3 linked regions of the Oryctolagus cuniculus genome follow. The protein of the gene in region 2 purifies or fractionates together with the protein of the main gene of each other region. This does not show direct contact. Links are inferred from orthologs where the notes say so. Each region holds a gene or a part of one and is shown on either strand. Other genes may lie near its edges. The genes, in order: TOM1, CUEDC1 and SMURF2.

What was found.
Region 1: the proteins of CUEDC1 (region 2) and TOM1 purify together in Homo sapiens (co-immunoprecipitation; 3 studies listed by BioGRID and IntAct, with this or other methods). This does not show direct contact. The link is inferred for Oryctolagus cuniculus from reciprocal best matches to the Homo sapiens genes CUEDC1 and TOM1.
Region 3: the proteins of CUEDC1 (region 2) and SMURF2 purify together in Homo sapiens (co-immunoprecipitation; 3 studies listed by BioGRID and IntAct, with this or other methods). This does not show direct contact. The link is inferred for Oryctolagus cuniculus from reciprocal best matches to the Homo sapiens genes CUEDC1 and SMURF2.

What each region holds. Positions count from the first base shown.
Region 1 is NC_091442.1:112,909,768-112,913,412, forward strand, and holds part of TOM1 (target of Myb1 membrane trafficking protein), read left to right. Parts: intron 1-1,996; coding exon 1,997-2,075; intron 2,076-2,945; coding exon 2,946-3,095; intron 3,096-3,366; coding exon 3,367-3,501; intron 3,502-3,576; coding exon 3,577-3,645.
Region 2 is NC_091448.1:33,327,299-33,330,943, reverse strand, and holds part of CUEDC1 (CUE domain-containing protein 1), read left to right. Parts: intron 1-126; coding exon 127-210; intron 211-1,653; coding exon 1,654-1,725; intron 1,726-2,458; coding exon 2,459-2,552; intron 2,553-3,439; coding exon 3,440-3,498; intron 3,499-3,645.
Region 3 is NC_091448.1:14,182,205-14,185,849, forward strand, and holds part of SMURF2 (E3 ubiquitin-protein ligase SMURF2), read left to right. Parts: intron 1-931; coding exon 932-1,069; intron 1,070-2,252; coding exon 2,253-2,373; intron 2,374-3,645. UniProt on the Homo sapiens protein: E3 ubiquitin-protein ligase which accepts ubiquitin from an E2 ubiquitin-conjugating enzyme in the form of a thioester and then directly transfers the ubiquitin to targeted substrates.

The sequences.
Region 1 (3,645 bases), on a different chromosome or scaffold from region 2:
TGCAGTGTGCCCCTGGGTGGCGCCACCGTGTGCAGCCCCTCTAAGCAGCAGCCTGTGTGCAGCCGCTCCCTCAGACAAGCAGAGGCAGAGACTCTGGCCCTGGGAGGTGGCGCCGGGTGTGCTTCTGCACTCTGGGCAGGAACCACATCAGGGACTCCCTCCTGCTGTCTGTGGGCAAGAACGGACTCCATCTCCCTACGGTTTGAAACCAGGGGGCCGCAGGAGGCATGAACGTGAAGCAGGATGGAAAGGCCGGTCGTGCGGGCGTCTCTGGTGCGGGTCAGGACGTTGTCCAGCTCAGAGCCGGGGAGTCAAGGCTTGTAACGCGGAGGGAGGTCTGGGGGCGTGGCTTCAGATCTCTGACCCCGTGTCACTGACCTGTTGTGACCGTGGACAAGTCACTTCGCCTCTCTGAAGCTCTGTGAGGCCCTTCCACCTGCAGCCCAGGTCCCTGGTGGGAGCTGAAAGGGGATGTGTGGTGGTCATCGTCTCAGCACAGCTGGGGGCGGGGGGCGGCACTGCCAGAGCAAGTGCTGCTGGTAAGTGAGGGTCAACGATCGGCAAGGACCTGTTCCCACGCCATACCTCACTGGGATAACCCACTTCCCCGCCCCACCCGTCCCTCTCAGGCAGGTGGGGGCACAGGCAGAAGAGGGCCAAGGCTGGTAGGCGCCTTCCAGCGCTTTCCTCAGCCGCTCTCGGGGCCGGCCCTGGAGCTGGGGTTGGGGGCACTCACACCCATGTCTGCACTCATCAGCTGAGGGTGGGGATGGGCGTGGTGGGCAGAGGGCAGCGCCCCCACAATGAAGGTGGCAGCAGGAAGGAGGCCACAGCAGGAGGTGACACATAGTAGGGAGTGCCGGACACGTGGCAGGCCCACAGCAGCAGCCCCCGGGCCAGGCCTGGCTCCGCGGGGAGTGTGGCCCTTTCCTCCAGGGCCCTCTGCAAGAAGTGGGAATGCATCCCCATAGAACACCAAGACGCCCCCAGGCCGGCGGTCAGGCCAAGAGCAGAAAGCTACTCCAGAGTGCACTGGGCTAGAAACTTCTCTCATGCTCTGGGCCCGGCTGCCGCCCGCCTGGAGCAGCATCCCCTGCCCTGCCCTGGCTCTCTGGCAGCCCTGACCAGGCGCATGGCTCTGACCCCGCTGCGGGATCCACTCCTGCCTGGGGCCGGGCCGGCCTCCAGACACCCCTGACTTAGCCGGTGGCAGCAGAAGCAGGACGGCCCCCTCGGCCACTCATCTGCCCGGGGACGTGCAGCCCGTGCTCCTGCCACAGGCGGGCGCCACAGGGGAGGTGTCCAAGGGGGCTGCCCGCCCGGAGGCTCCACATACACGGCCGTGCCCACCGCCGTACACCCCAGGGATGCTGGGAACCTGGGGCAGCGCCGCGGAGGGTGGGTTTCAGCTGGGCCCCAGGCTGTGGGCGTGGGCGTGAGAAGCCTTTGTGGTGAGGGTGAGGGTGTGAGCAAAGGCCGTTAGGCAGGCGAGCGTCCCTGGTCATACCTGTGCAGGGTGGGGGTAGAGGTGGCGGTGGAGTTATGGAAGGGACAGAGAGCAGGTGGCCTCTCACTGCCCTTACATGAATCCACCTTCCCTCCCCTCCCCCCACGCAGTCCAAGGCACTAAGCTCCTCCCGCCCCAGGGCCTCCGCCCCTGCTCTTGCCCTCCCCCACTGTTCCATCACCTCACATGGGATCCGCCACTGCAGAGGTCTCCCCCAGCCCCTCCTCCCCCAGCCCCTGGGTCTCCCCAGAACACGAGATCCCTGGAAGTGGCGTGCTTGGTGCTGTTCGTGTCCCCATACCTAGTGTGCTGCCCTGAACATGGGGGAGCTTAAGCCAAGTGGAGGCCAGGCAGGTGGGCGGACAGAGCACGGGAGGACAGGCCAGCGGGGCCAGCGCAGCCCGGCAGGGCCTCCCGCGCTCAGGCTAGCAGCCCTGCGCTGGGCTGGGAGGCTCCGCCCCAAGCCATCCGTCCTTCCGTCCTTCCCAGCCCCAAGGATGCCTTCCGAGCAGTGAAGAAGAGAATCGTGGGCAATAAGAACTTCCACGAGGTGATGCTGGCTCTCACGGTGAGTGCCCCATCCGTCTGTCCATCTGTCCGTTCATCCTGAGCCAGGACCTCAGGCCTGGGGGTCTCCTGCCCACCTGGGGCTGGGAAGGAAATGTCCACAGGCAAAGCTGTCTCCTGTGAGCAGTGCAGGTGCACGCGGATGGCGGGAGAGTTCTGCGGCGGGGGCACTGAGGCCACTGGGGCACATGCCCATGACGTAACAGTCTGGTACACCAGGCTTCCTGGGACACAAAGCCAGGCAGGCCACCCTGGGTGCTGCTCGGCTCCTGGACACCATGGAAGTGAACATGAAACAAATGCCAGTGGCTGAGAACAGCCTTGCCCACAGCCCCGAAGCAGTCCAGGGTGCCGAGCTAGCCGGGCGTGCCCGGCAGCCTGGCTTCAGGATGGGCCTGGCGGGGCGGGGCGAGGGGAGCGCTCTGTCCCCGTGGCTCTGCCTGCAGGGAACAGCCCCAGCAGCTCCTGCCGGGAAGTGGGGGCAGAGATTGGAGAAGGACTTTAGCCTGCTTGTCCTCAGGCCTCAGTGTCGCCAGGTGACAGACAGCTCAGGTGCCCTTTGATTTCCTCCTGGAGAGCCACCGTGTCTTGACCGTGTTCAGCTGGGAGGGGCATCAGGATGCTGCTGACACCAGTGCATTCCAGGCAGCAGCCCCCTCCACCCCGCCCCTCCGCAGCCACACCCAGAAAGGAAGCCCCCACGTCCCAGCGTTGTCCCCAGTTCTGCACGTTGTAGGACCTCGTTATAGGAAGTCCCACCTCCTCCGCTCGGCCTTCCTGTGGCACGGGGTAGGAGCTGGGAGAGTGCAGGGCCTGGGCCCCCCGCCCCGCCACGGTCTGGGGCGCTCAGTGGCACCCTGCGACCCTCCAGGTCCTGGAAACCTGCGTCAAGAACTGCGGGCACCGCTTCCACGTGCTGGTGGCCAGCCAGGACTTCGTGGAGGGCGTGCTGGTGCGCACCATCCTGCCCAAGAACAACCCCCCCACCATCGTGCACGACAAGGTGCTCAACCTCATCCAAGTGAGTGCCAGCGCGAGGGGGCGGGGCGGGGAGGCAGCCAGGGAGGGAGGCGCCCCTGCCACGTGTCTGCCCCAGGCTGTCGTTCTCACCTTTGGGCAGCCCAGCCGTTAGCCGATGTGCGTGGGGAGAGGCCTTGCTGTGGAGTGGGCTGGGCAAAGGTGGGACCAGCGTGTCCGGGAGGAAAGTTCTCGTGCCAGGTGCCAGGGCAGGCAGGCTGGCAGGGGAGAAAGCGAGCAGTGGTTACTGGCCGTGTCCCCTTGTCCCCTCTCAGTCCTGGGCTGACGCGTTCCGCAGCTCGCCCGATTTGACAGGTGTTGTCACCGTGTACGAGGACCTGCGCAGGAAGGGCCTGGAGTTTCCCATGACCGACCTGGACATGCTGTCGCCCATCCACACGCCGCAGAGGGTGAGCAGCCAGCCCGCGGGGCTCTGACCCTGACCTTGCCCGGAGGCCTCGCTGACGCTGCTTCTCACCCTCTAGACCGTGTTCAACTCCGAGTCGCCATCAGGACAGAGTTCTGCCAGCTCTGATGCCGGTCAGCGAGGGGAC
Region 2 (3,645 bases):
TTGAGAGCTGGTAGACCTGAGTGCACCGTGTGTGAGGCCTACCCCCACCCTCCTGCATCTCAGCCCCTGTGTGCCCTTGCTGGCCCGGGAGCCCCCTCCACTGACAGGAATGTGGTCCTTTTCCAGATCGATTGAAATACGAGTCCCAGAGATCCAAATCTAGCAGTGTGGCTGCGGGAGGCGACTTTGGCTTTCCCTCTTCTGTCCCAGGTAAACTTGCCTACCTTCAGAGGACCTGGGGACACAGGGGCTCACACCCCATTCTTCTTCACACAGTCGCGGTTTATGGGGTAGGGTGAGGACACAAATGAGGCTGGGGTCCTGGGCCCCTAAGCAGGGGAGTCTGGGGGGTCCACTGAGCAGCCGGGGTTCTCACCAGCGCAGGAGCGGCGGGGACTTGGGCGCCCACAGTACAATCCACAGGCTGTGCCCAGAGCATGGCTGCAAGGGGACACGCTGCACCGCGTGCTGGGGCTTGGGGATGGGAAGCACTCAGAGACTTACGGGGCTCGCTTTCTGCCCTGGGGGAGCTTACACTGGAGCACGGGGAGGGGAGGGCAGGGTTAGTCTGGGCAGGGCTCATTTGTTCATTCATTTACTTATCAAAGAGCTGGGGAGCAGCTGTGAGGTGCCGGTCCTGCCCTAGGTGTCAGGGGAAGGGGCATTTCAAGCTTCGTGCACAAAGGTAGTGAGAATCAAGAATTGCCTGAAGAGGGCCGGGCTCCTTCGCTCAGGGGCCCTCACTGTGGGAGGAAGGGGTGGGCCGTGCTGCCATTGGGGTGCACGGACTGGAGGGGCATGGGGTACACTCGGCAGGTGGCACAGGGCAGCTGGTCAGTCAGTGCCCACCTCAGAGAGAGGCTCAGCAGCTTTTGCCTGGGACAGTCCTTACGTGCTATGGTGAGTGGGGAGACAGAAGGGTGGGGACCTCGGTGGATCCTAGCTCCGAGAAAGAAAACACTGGGGGAGCTGATTTAAGCAGCAGACTGGAGGCTTAGGCCCAGCAGAGGCGCATCTGGGAGTTTTAATGGGAGCCTCTTGTCCTTGATCCCGAATTAACTCGGGGCGTTGGGCTGCTGAGATGGATCCCAGTGACTCAGCGGGGACTTAGCAGGCAAGGTGACTTGGGCTTAGCCAGGCTGCAGGGGCAGAGCAGTGAGTTAGGAGGGCAGAGACAAACCCCAGCAGGCGAGGGACAGAGAAACCCTGAGCCAGCCAGGGCGACCCTGGCTGGAGCTGGGCCCTGACTCTTGGCCAGGCCCCTTCTGGTTCCTACTCCTCGTCTGTGTGTGGAGGGAGTGATGTAGGGGCTGGCCCTGGAGGGAGGAGCCAGTCACCCTGACCCACTCTCCCCTGCTGCCCTCCAGGATGCTCAGGTGTAGGGAAGCCCCGGGCGTAGCTCCTGTTGACCTCCACGGCATAAATGCTCGCCTCATGGCCAACGTGAGCCCCCAGCCTGACTATGCCGGCGGCCACGGCAGGCCTTTGTGTGCTGCATGCCTGGCACCAGAGCCCGCAGGGAACCCGGAGCTCTCCTTGCTGTGGACTCCCAGCCAGGGAAGGGCCTTCCCGGATGGAAGGATGGGGCCGGGACAGCCCCGACCCTCCTCCCCTCCGAAGACCCCAGCCCTTAGTCGGTGTCTCCGCCTTCAGGAAACAGTGATGCCAACCCTGCCGTGTCCGAAGATGCCTTATTCAGGGACAAGTTGAAACACATGGGAAAATGTGAGTCCAGCCCGTGGCCCCTGCCTGTTCCAGCGTTGCCCCGAATTTTTAACACAAACGGCCCGAAAGGAGAGAGGGAGCCACCCCCAATTTTTAACATGGCTGACTCCTGATGAACCCAAATGACATTTTAATCACAGGCTGGCTCCCTCGGCCTTCCTGCCTCACTTCTGTGTTCAGCTGAGTCTGGATACAAATTAAGTTTTAAATCCTCTCCAGCCAGCTGTCCGCAAGGAAATCACACTCCATGCATCCTCTGGCCCCAGGGTCAGCGTTCTTGCTCGCTGTGGCCTGGCCGGGCCTGCCCAAGCTCTTCTATGGGGCCCCAGGGACCTCTTGCTACCAAGCCCTGCCAGCCCGGAGCACCCCCTCCTGGCCATGGCAGACCGGGGGCGGGGGGGGGGGGGACAGGGCTGTCACTCGCCCCTTCCCTCTGCTTCAGGGAAAATCTCGGATTAGTCCTGGAAATCCCAGCACCAGCTCGGGAGGCAGCTGGGGGAGGGGCCACGGCCTGCGGCAGCTGGGGAAGGAATACCCGGATCCTGGGCTGCCGGCTGGCCTCGGCCCGGGCTCGCCCTGGCCTCTGCTGCCCCTGCAGGCCGACCTAGCCAGCAGCTGTACTCCAGAGGCTGCCCCCTCCTCTGCCATCCTTGTCACCTCCCCCTCCCTCCCAGGGAGGCCATCTGGCGCTCCGGCTGCCCAGCGAGGGGCTCACAGGTCTCTCTGTCCCCAGCCACCCGCAGGAAGCTGTTTGAGCTTGCCCGGGCCTTCTCCGAGAAGACCAAGATGAGGAAGTCGAAGAGGAAACACTTGTTGAAGCATCAGTCGTATCCTTTCCTCCTGGCACCGGCCTGGGGCAGGGCACGTCCGGCTGCACTCCTGAGGCTGGGCCTCCCACAGTGGGGGGACCCGGCTCCGTGGCCTCCCCATCCCCTGAGCCAGGCTGCCAGCTCGTGCCTGTCTCCCAGTGCCAGTCTGCAGCTCCAGCGGCTCCTGTCTTCCTTCTGCAAGAAAAATGGTTTCTTCGCCATCCGCAAACCTTCTCCTGATTTCTTTTTTTTTTTTTTTTTACAGATTTATTTATTTATTTGAAAGTCAGAGTTACACAGAGAAGGAGGGGCAGAGAGAGAGGGAGAGAGAGGTCTTTCATCTGCTGGTTCATTCCCCAGATGGCTGCAACAGCTGGAGCTGAGCTGATCCAAAGCCAGGGGCCAAAAGCTTCTTCCGGGTCTCTCATGTGAATGCAGGGGCCCAAGGACCTGGGCCATCTTCCACTGCTTTCCCAGGCCATAGCAGAGAGCTGGATCGGAAGTGGAGCAGCCGGGACTTGAACCGGCGCCCCTTTACCCGCTACGCCACAGCGCCGACCCCTCCTGATTTCTGCATCTGTGCTGCCCCACGATGCTCCTGCCTCCCCACTCTCCGCAAGCAGCAAGAAGGGCTGCCACACTTTCACTCAGATGCCCAGCCCACGTGTCCGACAGGGCCCAGGGTGGTGGGAGCCCGCAGGCAAAGGGGAACAGGGAGAAAGGTGCTTCTCAGTCCCCAGAGGTGGGGCACGGTGACCCCAAGGGAGGGCACCCGGGGCCTGGTATTGGGGGCAGGTGGGTGCGGTGGGAGCCTCCTGGGCTTGCAGGGGTGGGACTGAGTGGACCACAGCAGTGGGCCCCCAACCCCCCTACTCCCGGGACAATTTTCCTGAGCGGCTCTGCAGGCTGGGGGCTGCGGCGTCAACGGCCAACCTCCTGGACGACGTGGAGGGCCACTGCTGCGGTGAGGCTGGCCAGGAATCTTCAGCCCCGGTTTGCCTGTGATTGGGGCGCCTCCGAGAGGGGGTGCTGGGTGTTGCGTGGGTGGACCCACCCTGACCGGAAGGGAGCACCCGGCCCAGGGGTTGGTGCAAGGACCCGTGTGGACTCC
Region 3 (3,645 bases), about 19 Mb from region 2:
TTAAAATTACTATATATGATGATGTCTTCAGTGTAATGCAGGTTCTCTCACAATCCTGCATGTGTTAGAATAGCAAATTCCTGCCTCCATTGCTTTTAATGAAGTGATTGCTAGAACAATGCTTATCAAAAAACTAATGCTGTTTAAGGTAAGAACCAATGTCGGCCGGTGCCGCAGCTCACTAGGCTAATCTTCCACCTTGCGGCGCTGGCACACCGGGTTCTAGTCTCGGTCGGGGCACCAGATTCTGTCCCGGTTGCCCCTCTTCCAGGCCAGCTCTCTGCTGTGGCCCGGGAAGGCAGTGGAGGATGGCCCAAGTGCTTGGGCCCTGCACCCCATGGGAGACCAGGAGAAGTACCTGGCTCCTGCCATCGGATCAGCGCGGTGCACCAGCCGCAGCGCGCCGGTCACAGCGGCCATTGGAGGGTGAGCCAACGGCAAAAGGAAGACCTTTCTCTCTGTCTCTCTCTCTCACTGTCCACTCTGTCAAAAAAAAAAAAAAAAAAGTCATTTGCAGGAATTCAGTTTATGAAAATAAAATAGCAATATTTTTTTACAAAGTATACAGGTTGCTTTCTTATTGGGGGTCCTCAGGCTTTTGGTCTCTTGGGGTACCCAGATTGAGTAGGATCTGTTATCTCAGCTCCAGACATAATTTTCCTGTGTTGGTCATTCTAGCCTAGCCTAGCTTTGACCAGAACTCTTCCTCATTATTCAGAAAGTGAAATGCTTCTGATGTGTATGAAGGTTAAAGCTCTGACTTTTCTGCTTAAGAATTAGGTGATGTGGAAGCGTAGGAGCTAATGAGAGGAGTCTGACCTTAATTTGTCCTGTCATGGAACTGTCGTATTTTTATCTCTAACAATTAATATACTTAACAGACTGTATTTTAGGTTTGCTAATTATGTATCCTTTTCTCTTGCCTACCTAGTGAAAATGATATTACAGGTGTTTTGGACCATACCTTCTGTGTTGAACATAATGCATATGGTGAAATTATTCAGCATGAACTTAAGCCAAATGGCAAAAGTATACCTGTTACTGAAGAAAATAAAAAAGAATATGTCAGGTAAATAGTTTTATGTTATCAAGGATGAGATTTTTTTAATATAGAATGGCAGTGTAAAAAACATTTAAGCATTTAGGTAGTATTATTTATTGCTACAGAATAAGTTTCCACAGAATTTAGTGACTTAAAAATCACCACTGTCTTATTTCTTACAATTCCAGGGTTCGACTAGTTTGGGCAGAGAACAGGGATGGATGGCACACTGCTATTCCATAGATGTCAGCCAGGACTGAGAGGCCAGGATGGCCTCTTTGCTGACATATGTGAGACCTCAGTTTGGCTCAAATGGCTGAGGGTTCAGACAGTAATAATTGCCTTCCAACTACAAGTGTGCAAAAAAAAAAAAAAAAAAAAAAAAAAACAAAACAAAGAAAAACTTCTACAGTGCAGTTTTGCTGCCCCCTTAAACCAACCAACAAAAACAAAACAAAAAAGGTCTTGCAGAGGATGCAATGTTAAACTTACTTCTTAAAGTAGGGAACTCTTTCTCCTAGTTTAGAAAAGGGAATGTAAATAACAAATTTGACAGATGAGTAGTTCCAAGATGTGGGGACAGATAGATAAAGCAGTGCACATATGATTACAGGTCCCAGTTAAAAGCACAATGTTACACGACAGAGGTAGTTCAATGTGCTTCTTGTTGGGAACACACTTGTTCCAGAGTTTTTACAGTCTCCAGGAAACGATGAGTAGTTAATCAAACGGTGCTTACTATTATTGGCTCTTACTATTTATTCTCATTTTTGTTATGAGTACTCTACCTCCTTTTCCCTCAAACTTCCCCCAGACATAAACAAAATACCCACCATTCAGTTATATTTTCAAGTAAAACCAGAAAGATGATCTTTTTTGAATGAATGAGCTCTGTTCTGGTTGTTGGTGTATATGCTTAAGTTTATAAAAACATTTTATCAAGATTTTAACTTTAGACCCTAAAGTTTATTAGGAGTTTCCCAGATTTGATGCTGCCCTTGGTAATGCAAGGTTACAACTTTTTATCTACATTGGACCTGCCTCACAGTTAGGTATGCATTTAGCTCCTTAGTCTAAGATTCTTTTAGACTTTAGACTAAATTCTTATGCTAGATGCTTGTACAGTGCACTGTTGCTTGAGGGAGAGATTCATAGTTATTAGCAAATCTGAATATATATGGTCCTGTGAAACCCTTACCCCATCTTACAGGCTGTATGTGAACTGGAGATTTTTACGAGGCATTGAGGCTCAATTCCTGGCTCTACAGAAAGGATTTAATGAAGTCATTCCACAGCATCTGCTGAAGACATTTGATGAAAAGGAGTTAGAGGTCAGTGCGTTAATATTATGACAACATCTAGTGCAACAAGAAAGAGTGGCTGTTATTCTCTTAGCTTTAAAGGAAAGTTGTGTTTCTGATGCTTTTGAAATTTTGTTTTCAGTGCTGTGAGAATTCTTAGTTGTAAGAAATGTCATTTCATTCTTTGGAATTTCTGAGTGAGCAATCTCTTGTGAATTGTGAATATTCTTATTTAAAGATTTATTTATCTGAAAGTCAGAGAGAGAGATTGGAGAGACATAGAAGTCTTGTATCTGCTGGTTCATTTCTCAAATGGCCACAATGACCCAAGGATGGGCCAGGCTGAAGCCAAGAGCCAGGAGCTTCTTCCAGGTCTCCCATGTAGGTGCAAAGGCCCAACCACTTAGGCCATCCTCCACTACTTTACCAGGCACATTATCAGGGAGCTGGATCGGAAGTGGGCAAGCCAGGGCTCAAACTGGCACCTGTATAGGATGCTGGCACTGCAGGTAGCAGTTTTACCCACTGTGCCACTGCGCCTGCCCCAGTCTGCAAATAATTTAACACATGACTGTATTCTTTTTTTTTTTTTTTTTTGACAGGCAGAGTTAGAGAGAGAGAGACAGAGAGAAAGTCTTCCTTCTGTTGGTTCACCCCCAAAATGGCTGCCCTGCCAGGAGCCAGGTGCTTCCTCCTGGTCTCCCATGCAGGTGCAGGGCCCAAGCACTTGGGCCATCCTCCATTGCACTCCCGGGCTACAGCAGAGAGCTGGACTGAAAGAGGAACAACTGGGACAGAACCAGCGCCCCAACCGGGACTAGAACCCGGAGTACCGGTGCTGCAGGCTGGAGGATTAGCCTAGTGAGCCACGATGCCAGCCCACATGACTATATTCTTTTAACTTTAATGTATGTCCTTTCTAACTAAATCTGTTAACTGCTCTGCTAGCAAACAAATCTAATAGCATAGGGTTGACTCATCGTATCCTCATCTTTTATGATTGAATTATTATTCGTGAAATGGCCAGAGGGAAGTAGTCAGAAGGAGGAGGAGAACATAGCAGGAATGTCATCTGTTTTTCATCTGTTTATACAATGAATGAGGAATTTGGCCTTGTAATTGCCACTCCTCTAAGGAAAAGAATTTAGGAGGTATCTTTTGTGTTAGAAATATGCCCATAATCTTTTTTGGATAATATCCTCTCTGCAAGTATGGCTTAGATTCAGTAATCTTTTTAGGACCCTAGAGTAGCTTTGTGGAGATTTTGTTTAGTGGCATTAGGATTTATTATATAGTTTGTAC